Linked DNA regions of Cricetulus griseus. The main gene of each other region encodes a partner of the protein of the gene in region 3 in a complex. Links are inferred from orthologs where the notes say so. Each region holds a gene or a part of one and is shown on either strand. Other genes may lie near its edges. The genes, in order: Ednra, Ednrb and Edn1.

Region 1 (3,646 bases), about 110 Mb from region 3:
GTCACTTAACTAACCCCTGGAAAAGGACAACATGGAACAAGTGACGTCATAAAGCCTGAGATATCGAGGCAAGGGTTTGAGAGAGGGAGCGAAGTACTGGCAGGGGTGGCTATGGGTTGCAATGAAGGGTGTGAGTCAAACTGGTGAGGTTTCAGCATCTATTCCAAGTCTGGATACACCTTTTTCTGATATAACTTCCTGTCTCCTTTCATGCTCCTCTCTTCAGCTGTGCTCTACACTAGACTGCCCCAATGCCCTTCCTGTCCCAGGGCCTTTTCCACTCCCCAGCTGATGATGTCAGTCAAAAACAACCGTGTAGCCCCTTTCTCAGTAGGCTTCGGTCATGGAAGGGATACTCCATCCAGCTCAGTCCCGGGTCACCTTCCAAACCCTAGGCAGGTGCTTCTAGGCTATACCCCCTCAGCCTGCAATTCTGTGGGGAAAGGATACAAAAGTGGGGTGTGCGAGGGGGTGGAGGGCTGGGGAAAGCCTCACAGGATGTTTGTACTATACTTCCAAACAAGGAGGGAGTCTGGATTTTTTTTTTAAGTTCCAGACAGATATCCTTCTACAATGGGATGGACTAGGGGAGGTTTTTTTTAACAATCTGAAGAAACAAACTCATTTGGGAGTTTGTATTTAATCTGGGATAGATTTCAGGGGTCTGGGAACTTGGATGGGAAAGAAAATGTGGTTAGTTTTTTATTTTTACTAAATTCCCCCTGGAATGTATAGTCTCCTCTGACTTTCCTTGTTTGTTTGTTTGTTTGTTTGTTTGTTTTTCAAGACAGGGTTTCTCTGTGTAGCTTTGGAGCCTATCCTGGCACTCGCTCTGGAGACCAGGCTGGCCTCGAACTCACAGAGTATGCTATGCAATTTGGTGATGAAGACATATCTTTATCAGAATTTTATTTTCAGTATTTTGATAGCTCCATTTCAATGCAATTGGTTTCCATTGTAACCACATACATTTAACTTTGTCCTTATTAAAATATAATGCTGATGTCTGGGAATTTTATCAGTTGATAAAATAATAAAGTTCAATCCCCCAGAATCCATGTAAAAAGCTGGGCATGATGGCATAGGCTTGTAAAACCAGTGCTGGGAAGGCAAAGGACTACAGGTCACAGGCATTATCCAGATAGCCTAGCCAAACTGGCCAGCCCTAGGTCTCAGTGGGAGAACCTGCCTCAAAAAACAAGGGAGATGTCTCCTGAAGAATGATACCTAAGGTCTTGCCCATGCACACATGAGCACACACACACACACACACACACACACACACACATTCAAGCACACACACCATATTGTTCTCAGAAGGAATTCTCGTGTTCACCAGATTTCTGAGGGTTCTGTGGTATTTAACTGTTATGAAGCCTTGCTTGAATGTTTGTCTTCTGGAACCACTTTTAGATGACTTAATTAGACATAAAGGGTTCCTTTCCATGCACAGAAACTGCCAGTACTCAGGGAACAGGGTGGTCATATTTTCGGGAACAGAAGGCTACGGCACCCTCAGTAAATAAACAGTCTGGAGAAGGAGCATAAGGAAGTAAAGAGCATACCTTCCCAAGTTCAGGGTTAATTCGGGAAAGCATTTGAGTAGTGTTGTTCAACTTTCATTTTTATCCTCCTTTAAAAAGACAGAAAACTGGGGGCTGGAGAGATAGCTCAGTGGTTAAGAGCACTGACTGCTGTGCCAGAGGACCTGGGTTCAGTTCCCAGTACCCTCATTGAAGCTCACAACTGTCTGTAACTCCAGTTCCAGGGAATCTGACATCCTGACACATACATGCAGGTAAAACACGAATGCACATAAAATAAAAATAGTTTTTTAAGACAGAAAACTGAACAATATGGAATTGTATAAATCCTTGCCCACAGAGAGAGAGAGTACCAAGTCAGCCCTTAGCTATAGCTAGAATATCCCCACTCAGTAGTTTCCAGGTGGCAAGTACTGAGAGAGAGAGAGAGAGAGAGAGAGAGAGAGAGAGAGAGAGAGAGAGAGGAGTTGTTGATAACTGAGCTGGCTGACTCTGGGGTCACATAGCAGGCATACCAGGCAAAGGGTCAAGTCCCACTAACCTCAGCCACAGATCAGCCATTCACTGATAGCCTTCAGTGTCCCTACATGAGATACCCACATTAAGCACACTTTAACCACACATATCAAAGAGTCAGCCGATCTTATCAGCAATAAACAAAGATGAAGTCTCAGATCCCATTGTATGAACTTCAAGAGGAGACTCTGCACTGATTAGAGCTCCTCCATTGTGTAATAGAAATGAGCTCAGAGCTCTCAGAAGCACCCTTGGAGGGATAATTGGATAACTTTAATACACATGTCTTCATATGTTACAGCTTAGAGGACAGCACTTTCCTAGTTACTGCAAAGCCCTACTAGGCATGATCCAGTGCTGAAAAATAAAAATTAAAAAACTGAGCACAATGCAAGCTCTTTACTTCCGTCAAAGAGGATATATGTGACTGCATCTACAATCTCAGGGACTGTGAGCAGGCAGGGTACTGCACAGGCAGCTTATGTTTCAGCACCTCTCTTCCCTTTTCCTCACTGAACAGTTTTACCAAGATGTGAAGGACTGGTGGCTTTTCGGGTTCTACTTCTGCATGCCCTTGGTGTGCACAGCAATCTTCTACACCCTCATGACCTGTGAGATGCTCAACAGAAGGAATGGCAGCTTGCGGATTGCTCTCAGTGAACACCTCAAGCAGGTAAATCTCCACAGCTCCCGAGAACTTGGTTGAGGCCGCTTTGAAATCAGCAAGCCCCTTGCTTCTACAAGCATCACAGTCAGCTGCAACTGCACAAATGACTGTGTCTCCGTAAGTTTAAAGTGGAACTGAAAAACTTCATCGCCTCGCATATTTTACAGTATCTTTTCCATGCTAAGATATATTGTGATAGGCAAATGCCAGTGTGTTACAATTGCCTACGCTATCCGGTACAGTAATATGTTAGACAGATGTGTAGTCTAGGAGCAACACGCTGGACCACACAGCTGACTGGGAGGTAGAAAATACCATCCAGCAGTGTGCTTGTACACTCTGGTGTTTGCACAGTGTTGAAATTGCCTAGCTACACATTTTTTCAAAACATATCTGTGTTTTTGAGCGGCACATGACTATGTCGTATGTAACAGATTTATGCTAATTTTCTAAAAATAAAAATGTTCTCTTGTAGCTGTTTTCTTTATATAGTCTTAGGAATTCCTTGTGGGGAGTGGGAATCCTGCCTGTGAACCAGATGGCCCTGGGAGGCTGGGCTTAAAGACAGTTAACTTGTGCTTATTTTGTCAAAAAGTGTACCGAGCATGTGTGCATGGATGCACTGAAATGGGCTTGTGACTGTGCCAGGACAGAAAGATGCATACGACCACATTTCCTTGCGGGCTTTGTAGTCTAGTTGTAGAATAAAATACAATACAAGCAATTAGAAAATAGAATGATGAAGTGCAATCCAAGTAGCCATAAAACACAAAGCCAGGGAATATATGAAATGCAACTATGGAGAAATTGTCTGTAAATGGGGGAGTGTGCGGATAAGTGTGGGAAAGCAGAGGGCAAAAGCTGTTTCAGCTGGAGGACAAAAGCCCTGGGAGAATGTGGGATGGGCACCAGGCAATCA
Region 2 (4,326 bases), on a different chromosome or scaffold from region 3:
AGCAAACAGGCAGCTTAGTAGCATTCCCTTCTGTGCCTGAAAGACCGAGCTCAAGAGTGGACAGGAAGAATTTGTTTCGTTGCTGTCTGGTGAAATAAGCATCAGGTTGAATTTGCGAGTCTGCTTCCTGATTATTTTCCTGTCTCTTGTCTCGGGTCCCTTTTAGGCTCCGTAGAAAGATCCCTGTAGGGGCTTGGCGACAGTTCAGTACCCAGGAAGAGCTACACTTGCACACAGTGAAGGATGTCTTTCACTCCTTCTTGCTTTGGGCAATCCCTCCGCCTGAGGAGAAATGATCCTGGCCCTTCCTGTTGACGTGAAACTTAAGGGCAAAGAAAGAAATGAAAGGCAACTCCCCCAGACCAAGCAGATTTCAAGCATCACTAGGGGACATTTCTGTGAGAAGTCAGGATATTCAAAGTCAGATTAACACAGCCTTGTCCTAATCTCCAGCCCCCAGAGTGCCATGGGATACGTAGGATCTTACATAGTTAAACCGCAAATAAACAGTTTCGCGTGGGGCACAGTGAGGACTGCCCCTTCCAGTGGGCAGCTGAGGCTGATACTGTCCAGGCATCGCCCAAGGGGAAAGGTTTTGGCAGGGTCGCTCAGAAAACTCGGGAGGAGTCTGAGGGTGATTGATGCTGGGGAAGGGACGAATGAATAAAAGTACTTGTCTGGGGACAGCAGCGACCCCAGTGAGCTGCTGAGGATCCTGTCTGGCGCTCTCTCAGCCTTGGTCAGAGCCAGAGCTGCCTGCAGCTGAAGGAGCAGATGGGATCCCTCTGCGAGCTGCAAGCCCCCTAGGCGGTTCGATGACCCGGATAGGAGGTTCCCTGCTGGTGGTTGAGCCTGGGGCTTCCAATTCCTGCTAGATAACTAATCATTCTGGGTTAGTGTTGAAATTAAAATATGTGAGACTGGACCTTGCTCTAACAGTTTGGAGACTTTAAAATAAGTAAAATTACACATAGCTGCGATTCACACTGAGATTGGGTTGAAATGCGACTGAATGAAGTCACTTAGAAAACACAAAAGTTGATGCTGACATTCTCTCAGTTCGTGCTGAGTGCATTGATGCATGCCCTTGGCCGCTAGGTGCCTTCTTCATTCTGGGTCCTGAAGCTTAGCTAAAACGGTCTTGCTTCTTCCCGGCAAACACCAGTGTTCTTTCCCTGGGACACCCAGCCTCCCCTGTCTGGAACACCCCTGCCGGAATGCTCCGCCCCACCGCGACTGGTCTACCGCAGGGCCAGGAGCTGGGGATTAAAACACAGCGAGCAGGGTCAGGAAGGAGACTGGATGCGGGCGAGCGGGTGGCGCGCGCCCAAGTTCCCCATTGGCGCGCAAACTGAAGTTACTGCTGCGCGGGTAGTGGCGACAGGGCTAGTGTGAGTGTTTGCAGAGGCGTGGCTGGGGTGGCTGACAAAAGTGCCCTGCCTTCATTCCCCTGTTGGTCTCTAGACTGAAAGCAGCGGAGCGGCTACCGGACTCCCACTGGAGCAAGCTGTAACATGCATCCGCCGGCAAGCCAGTGCGGACGCGCCTTGGTGGCGCTGCTGCTGGCCTGTGGCTTGTTGGGAGTTTGGGGAGAGGAAAGAGGATTCCCACCTGCCCAAGCCACACCGTCTCTTCTGGGGACTAGAGAGGTAATGACACCACCCACCAAGACCTCCTGGACGAAAGGTTCTAACTCCAGTCTGACGCGTTCCTCAGCACCTGCGGAGGTGACCAAAGGAGGGAGGGTGGCTGGAGTCCCGCCAAGATCCTTCCCTCCTCCGTGCCAGCGAAATAGTGAGATCAGCAAGACTTTTAAATACATCAACACGATTGTGTCCTGTCTCGTGTTCGTGCTGGGCATCATCGGGAACTCCACGCTGCTGAGGATCATCTACAAGAACAAGTGCATGCGAAATGGTCCCAACATCCTGATCGCCAGTCTGGCTCTGGGAGATCTGCTACACATCATCATCGACATCCCCATTAATGTCTACAAGGTAATGCCCCTGATCTGAGGGGCTGGAAGCGGGACAGGGGTGGGGGGTAAGTGGAACCACCGTTAAAGTTAAAGTACCGGGAAGAGCTTCCTGAGGTACACTGCTCCTCTCCTCCTAGTGACTATTGAACCAGATTTTCTTCTGGGTTTTTTCTTAGCCTCTGACAAGTGTAGCTTTCTGAGCAGTAACACTGTTGTTATTATTATTAGAAAGAAGAATCCAGGCTCCCAACCCAGGCATACTGAATCACAGGCTCTGGAGTAGTTGCGAGACAGTTATATATTTTTAAAATCCTTTCTATGTAACTGTGACAAAATTTAACGTGTGAGAATCACAAGTCCCTTCGTCAGCCTTTCTAGGTACAGCTTCCTGAAAGTATGGTCCACAAACTGGGAGTTTGTCAGGAATGCAAATCTTCCCCAAACTTATGACACACAGATGATTGAAGGGCAAGGTAATTGTAGAGGGCTTTGTTTTGAGGGCCAGGAAAGCAGCGGTCCAGTAAGGATTTAGAAAACTAATGGTTTGGGTGAAAGAGGCCCAGACTGGTAAGTCAGTGAAACTCCAATTCCTTGCTGCAAGTAGCCTTGGATAGTCTTGATGAAATAAATGGCCTGGTCCAACTATTGAGTTACACGTGTTGCTTCTTTTATCCACTCCAGCAACCCACCAATAGACAGTTATTGCCGTTTTAATCATGATTAATAAGATGCTCAAGGGCCCCCCGTGAGGTAGAGGTGGAGATCAGGGTCCAGGATGCCTGGTTCCCAAATGTAAGCTTCCTGATATTATCTCCGCTTACTTCATGGACAAGACAGAGGAGAACTCTGTAATAAGGTCAATAAAAATTTCAATAGTTAAAATTGCTATGATTTCCACAGTTGTCAGAAGAAATGGGCTCAGAGAACAAGGCAGGACTTGTTCTTCCTTATAAAACTAAACAGGTAGTCAACATCCACAGTGTTGACTTCAGGTAGTTTTGGAAGTTAGGACATGTCCTGGCACCTGTGGCTCTCATTTTCTTCCATTTCCCAAGAAAGCTTCCAGTGCCCACCTATGGTGAATTTGTGATGTTAACAAAAACTGACCAAATGAAAGGGCCAGGGATGTTTAGAGTTGTGCAAACATATAGCACTGCTTCCCATTGTTAGCAATAGAGAGTCACACATAAAACAGCCTTGGCGTAAAGGAATGAGACTGTGCATGGCGGACTTGCTGAAGGCCTACCCTGGCCTCTACTCAATGGGAAGACAGTGTTAGGTTAGGGAACGTACTACAACCTAAGTGACATGAGTCGTTATCACAAGGCAACCCTTGACATTTCCCTTCATCGTTCTCTGGGAAGCCTAATCCCAGTAGCCACATTTTAAGGGAATTCCAGACATTTCTGAGGCTTAGAGATGGGACATAGATTAGGATCCAGACCCTGAAGGGAAGTGCTAACAGAAATACAAAGAAGAACTGCAAAAAAAAAAATCTGGGACAGCAAACGCTTTTGACAGACTCTGAGCGTTTGCCTGGAGACACAGCCTGAAAAGTTTCTTAGGTGCAGTCACAGCTCTGGTGGGATATGAAGCGACCCACTTGCTTCTTACAGAGTGGCAAGTTAGGGCTTTCTGTGGTGGCTGAGACACTTTACAGTGGAAAGTGTGGGAAATTTTAACTTAGCTGAGTCAAGATTCCTCTCCATAGTCGAGAGCATATTGTACTTCTGCTAGGTATGCACAGAAAATCAATGGAAGTTCTATTTGGAGCAGCCTCAACTGACCTATACATTCAACCAAATTAGAAACCTCCTGACAGCAGCCAGCCATTGCATGGTTGTGTGGAAGGCAGGGCTAAGAACATTTTCTTCCCTTGTGTTGCCACCAGACCAGATAGACATTGACTCTTCTGAGACCTCTCTACTTTCTGTCTGGTGAAATGACTACTTCCATAACCCTTAGAACATCTGACTGAGCATGTGTGTTTCCTTCCAAGTCCCTCTATTATTTCCCTGGGAAGTTACATCCTTTACCCCGAAGCTATTCAGTGTACTAAAGCTGTGTTTTTACTTCTGGAACAAACTGATGAGTCATTATAAAACTAAACAGGTAGTCATCTAAATTGATCTGAAACTTGGGTCCCACAGCTATGAGTGTCAACATGAGCTCCTACAAATCCTGCCTTGGTGTAGTTTGAGGCAACAACAGTGGCCACTATTTATTGGCCACTATGTACTCATTGTATTTAATTAAATTACTTGGATGACCTGTCACAGGATACCTTGCTATCAGCCCTGATTTAAGTCACTGATGAGGTGAAGAAGTAACTTGCCTGGTATCACACC
Region 3 (3,720 bases):
CCTTCTCCCTTTGAGTGGACCAAGGGTATTTCACCCTCGGCCCCCAACACTAGTCCACTCATCAGAAGCAATCCTAAGAAAGAACAAACACATTTATTCTGTCCACAATGGCTGGCCAAATTCCAAACCAAACCAGACCCAAACCGCTGTGGACCTAATCTTTAGCTGTGGTTCTACCAAGGAGAGGGTGACATTCCTTGCTGTGAGAACTGAAGTGGATTCATTGCAAGTGCTTGGGTAGCATTTTGGCGCTAAGCCCTTCATACTCAGTGAGATTTTACCAATCTTGAGGAGCACTGTCCCAGTATGCCTTGATGCACCAGATAGCATGTCTGGCATTATCATCACACATGACTGAAGTAGAAAATCTTGTGTTATGGTTTTGCTTCTGCCCCGTAGTTTTCCTTCTTCCACCCATATCACGTGCTAGAAAAGGAAGAAAACACAAAGCAGAAACCCAAACAGAGGTGTTGTAATTTCATTGAATTAGAGAAAAAAAAAAAAAGAAGCTTGTGTTCTTCCATTTGGGGACATTCACTGGGGGGCACTGAAGGGTAAACATGCCAAATAGCTTCCACACTTTCCCATCATGAGCTGTCCCAATGCTGTCAGAGTTGTATGACCAAAGAATGTGTTATTATAATAAAGACTATTAATTAAGCTAATATCTTTTCCTTCTCTCTTTCTGTATTAGGCGTGTTGTTCCATATGGACTGGGAAGCCCTTCCAGGTCCAAGCGTTCCCTGAAGGACTTACTTTCTCCAAAGACCACAGACCACGGGAATAGGTGTCAGTGTGCTCAGCAAAAAGACAGGAAGTGCTGGAATTTCTGCCAAGGAGGAAAAGAACTCAGGTGAGCAGAAGCCCCTCTACCTGTCAGAGAGTTGTGCAACCCACTGGCCTTCTTCCTATGAAACTGTCTTTTCACTGTAGAGACAGTAGCAGAGGCCTGGAGAGTCAAGGTGAGCCTCAACGTGCCCTTGCTAAAATGCTTTCCCTGTGTGTCTTAACCCAGAGCCCAAAACACCATGCAGAAAGGCTTAGAAGACTTCAAGAAAAGAAAAGCCTGTTCCAAGCTGGGCAAGAAGTGTATCAACCAGCAACTGGTAGAAGAAAGAAAAATAAGAAGGTAAGAGGCTCATGATGACCACTGGCCCTGGACAGCAATGCTAATGCCTCCCTTCCTAGTGGGAAAAGGCTCTTGTACAGGACCAAATTGTCGTGGTCTGTGGACTTAAAAGAGCAAAGGGCTCTTCAAATACTCGGGCCTTGAGTGCAGACACCTGCCCCTTGTGTCTTAGCACACACTGGCCTATAGGTGGACCACACTGAGAGGAGGCTTTGGAATTTGAACATATCCAGGCTTTTCTTCTCTGGTTTTTATGTTCTGCTTGCCTCAAGAAGCTAAAAAATCGGGTCAAGGAAAAAGACATTGAAAAATATTTACATGTATTACCCAAAACGTAGCAGTTAATTATTCAAATGGCCAAAGGAAAATAAAGCCATTAGGTAAGGTTGGTGAGATTTAGAACATGCTGTTTTTCAGGTTTATTCCATTACCATTGCTTAAATATGGAAATTGGAAGAGCCATGCCACTTCTCTTGCTTCCTATGACCCAGGAGAGAGCTGGATTAGGCAATCCCATAGGGGGGCTACAAGAAGCTTTTTGATGATCCTTACAGAGTCTAAACTTTTGAAACTGAGAAGATGGGGGTGTTAAGGGACTCTTGTTCAGACTTGTCACAATGCTCCTATCTCTAGAAGCTTTCCCAAGAAATCCAGGGGCAAGGTGTTCTGAGACCAAAGTGTTCTGATCCCAGTATGGCATCAGGGAGGGACTGCAGAGCTGGTTACTGCTCCTGTGCTGGAAGGCCACAGTTAGCTCCCTTCACCCCTGCCACCTTGGGTTTGCTCTCCACTAGGTCACAGTTGCTGAGTTACCTGAAGACCAGTACCAGTTTGTTACTTTGTCTGATATCAACTACTAACTTGATGCTACAGTTCTTCATCTGTTCTGTCTCATAAACACACACACACACACACACACACACACACACACACACACACACACACACACACATTAAATTACATTAAATTATACATTTTCAACTGTTATCAACTATTCCCTTATTCTTCTTTCCATCCACCTGCTAACTTCCATTTCTTATATGATTTAGAAGGTGCCAATGTGCCACTTCTCCACAGAAGCAGAGGTTGGAGCTGTTCAAACATAGTATTTAGTACCAGAGTCCTCTTAGGCTGCTCATAGGATCCCTCTCTGCAATACTAGGCAGAAATGGCAGGGTTTATTCTCAGTAGTCATAGATACTGCTTGAGGATTTATCAAAGAGTAACACACTGTCACACCTTATAAAAGGCTAGGAACTAGAATTAATGTGTTTGTGTCAAATTCTAAATTTAGATGTTTCCTTAGCCAAGGAGTGATTTCTTTCTTTGTGTATGTGCTTAAGTAACATTTATTTTCTCTTGTCTTGTTTTAATAGGTTGGAGGCCATCACCAATAGCATCAAGACATCTTTTCGTGTTGCAAAGTTGAAAGCTGATCTCTATAGAGACCAGAAGTTGACACACAACCGAGCACACTGACTACCGAGCTTCCCTGTGTTTTGGAAGCCGTCAAGTCCATAGAGCAAGCCCATGGCCAACTCTGCACTCTCCATGCTGGCTGGGTTCTCAAAAAGAACATCCATCCCACTTCTACAGTTTCTAGTTTCAGACTGGCAAGGGACCAGTATCTCTGTTCCAAACATTCCAAGAGAGGTTGAGATGTTCCCCAACCTGTCTTCATTTGCTTCTGCTGGTAGTGACTGCTTTTCGCCCCTTCTCGCTGTTTGGGAATGCCAGCGGACCTCTCAGAGAGCAGAGACATGATGACATTCTAGGGTGGCATCGTCCAGAGAGGAAGGAGATTCCACACCAGGGTGGAGTTTCTGAAGAAAGTCCTTAGGGGGTGTTTGTGTCTGACTCAGGCGCCTGGCACATTTCAGGGAGAAACTCCAAAGTCCATGCAAAAATTTTCTGAGGAATGTACAAATTGAAAACATACTCAAAGGACAAACACTTGAGTTTTTAAAAAAAAAAAAAAAGAAAAAAAGGACAAAGATTTTTTTTAAGTTGTAAAATTCAAAACTCAAAGCAACTGTTACTACTGTACATTAGGATGTGTTTCATGAATATGAGTCTACCTCACCTTACTGCACTGTCATATATATTCCCTACTGTTATTATTCCCTACCTAATTATTGCCTCCCTGTACTCCCTCCTCTCCTGCCACCAGGCTCCCCATCCCCTTTACTGAATCCTCGCCTCATAGAAGTCTAGTCTAATGTGTCAGTCAGTAGTAGATGAAACATTTCCATGCTAATCTGCTAACCCTGATCTATGAGAAAAAGGATGACGGACTCTGGCCCCTGCCCTTGACCTTGGGAGATACAATGAATGGCATAGAGTTGCTTGTGAAAGATCTGGAGAGCTGGTTGTGCTATATAGCAGTAAAAGTTTGTTCCTGTATGTAACTGGCTAATGGAAAAGGTTAGATTGAATTTGATGTACTTATTTTTTTATAGATATTTATATTCAAACAATTTATTCCTTATATTTACCATGTTGAATATATGTCTGGGCAGGCCATATTGGTCTATGTATTTTTTTAAAATGTATTTCTGAATGAAATTGAGAACATGCTTTGTTTTGCCTGT

The links.
Region 1: the proteins of Edn1 (region 3) and Ednra are in contact, whole or in part, in a cryo-EM structure (PDB 8HCQ), measured with the Homo sapiens proteins. The link is inferred for Cricetulus griseus from reciprocal best matches to the Homo sapiens genes EDN1 and EDNRA. Residues at the interface, in NP_001403492.1 of Homo sapiens: Cys53, Ser54, Leu58, Asp60, Lys61, Glu62, Cys63, Val64, Tyr65, Phe66, Cys67, His68, Leu69, Asp70, Ile71, Ile72, Trp73; in NP_001948.1 of Homo sapiens: Tyr68, Gln72, Thr73, Lys74, Tyr129, Asp133, Ile136, Asn137, Lys140, Leu141, Gly144, Arg145, Trp146, Gln165, Lys166, Val169, Glu220, Phe224, Val227, Phe229, Tyr231, His236, Lys237, Thr238, Cys239, Met240, Leu241, Asn242, Gln252, Lys255.
Region 2: the proteins of Edn1 (region 3) and Ednrb are in contact, whole or in part, in a cryo-EM structure (PDB 8XWP), measured with the Homo sapiens proteins. The link is inferred for Cricetulus griseus from reciprocal best matches to the Homo sapiens genes EDN1 and EDNRB. Residues at the interface, in NP_001403492.1 of Homo sapiens: Cys53, Ser54, Cys55, Ser56, Ser57, Leu58, Glu62, Cys63, Val64, Tyr65, Phe66, Cys67, His68, Leu69, Asp70, Ile71, Ile72, Trp73; in NP_000106.1 of Homo sapiens: Pro88, Pro89, Ile94, Glu95, Ile157, Asn158, Lys161, Glu165, Asp166, Trp167, Val177, Pro178, Gln181, Lys182, Val185, Phe240, Ile243, Met245, Tyr247, Leu252, Ile254, Leu256, Leu257, His258, Pro259, Lys270, Lys273, Leu277, Trp336, Leu339.

Annotation. Positions count from the first base shown.
Region 1 is NC_048596.1:153,440,940-153,444,585, reverse strand, and holds part of Ednra (endothelin-1 receptor), read left to right. Parts: intron 1-2,580; coding exon 2,581-2,733; intron 2,734-3,646. UniProt on the Homo sapiens protein: Receptor for endothelin-1. Mediates its action by association with G proteins that activate a phosphatidylinositol-calcium second messenger system. The rank order of binding affinities for ET-A is: ET1 > ET2 >> ET3.
Region 2 is NW_023276807.1:255,426,082-255,430,407, reverse strand, and holds the start of Ednrb (endothelin receptor type B), read left to right. Parts: upstream 1-1,481; 5' UTR 1,482-1,514; coding exon 1,515-1,997; intron 1,998-4,326. UniProt on the Homo sapiens protein: Non-specific receptor for endothelin 1, 2, and 3. Mediates its action by association with G proteins that activate a phosphatidylinositol-calcium second messenger system.
Region 3 is NC_048596.1:261,974,034-261,977,753, forward strand, and holds the end of Edn1 (endothelin-1), read left to right. Parts: intron 1-694; coding exon 695-853; intron 854-1,015; coding exon 1,016-1,129; intron 1,130-2,505; coding exon 2,506-2,608; 3' UTR 2,609-3,145; downstream 3,146-3,720. UniProt on the Homo sapiens protein: Endothelins are endothelium-derived vasoconstrictor peptides. Probable ligand for G-protein coupled receptors EDNRA and EDNRB which activates PTK2B, BCAR1, BCAR3 and, GTPases RAP1 and RHOA cascade in glomerular mesangial cells.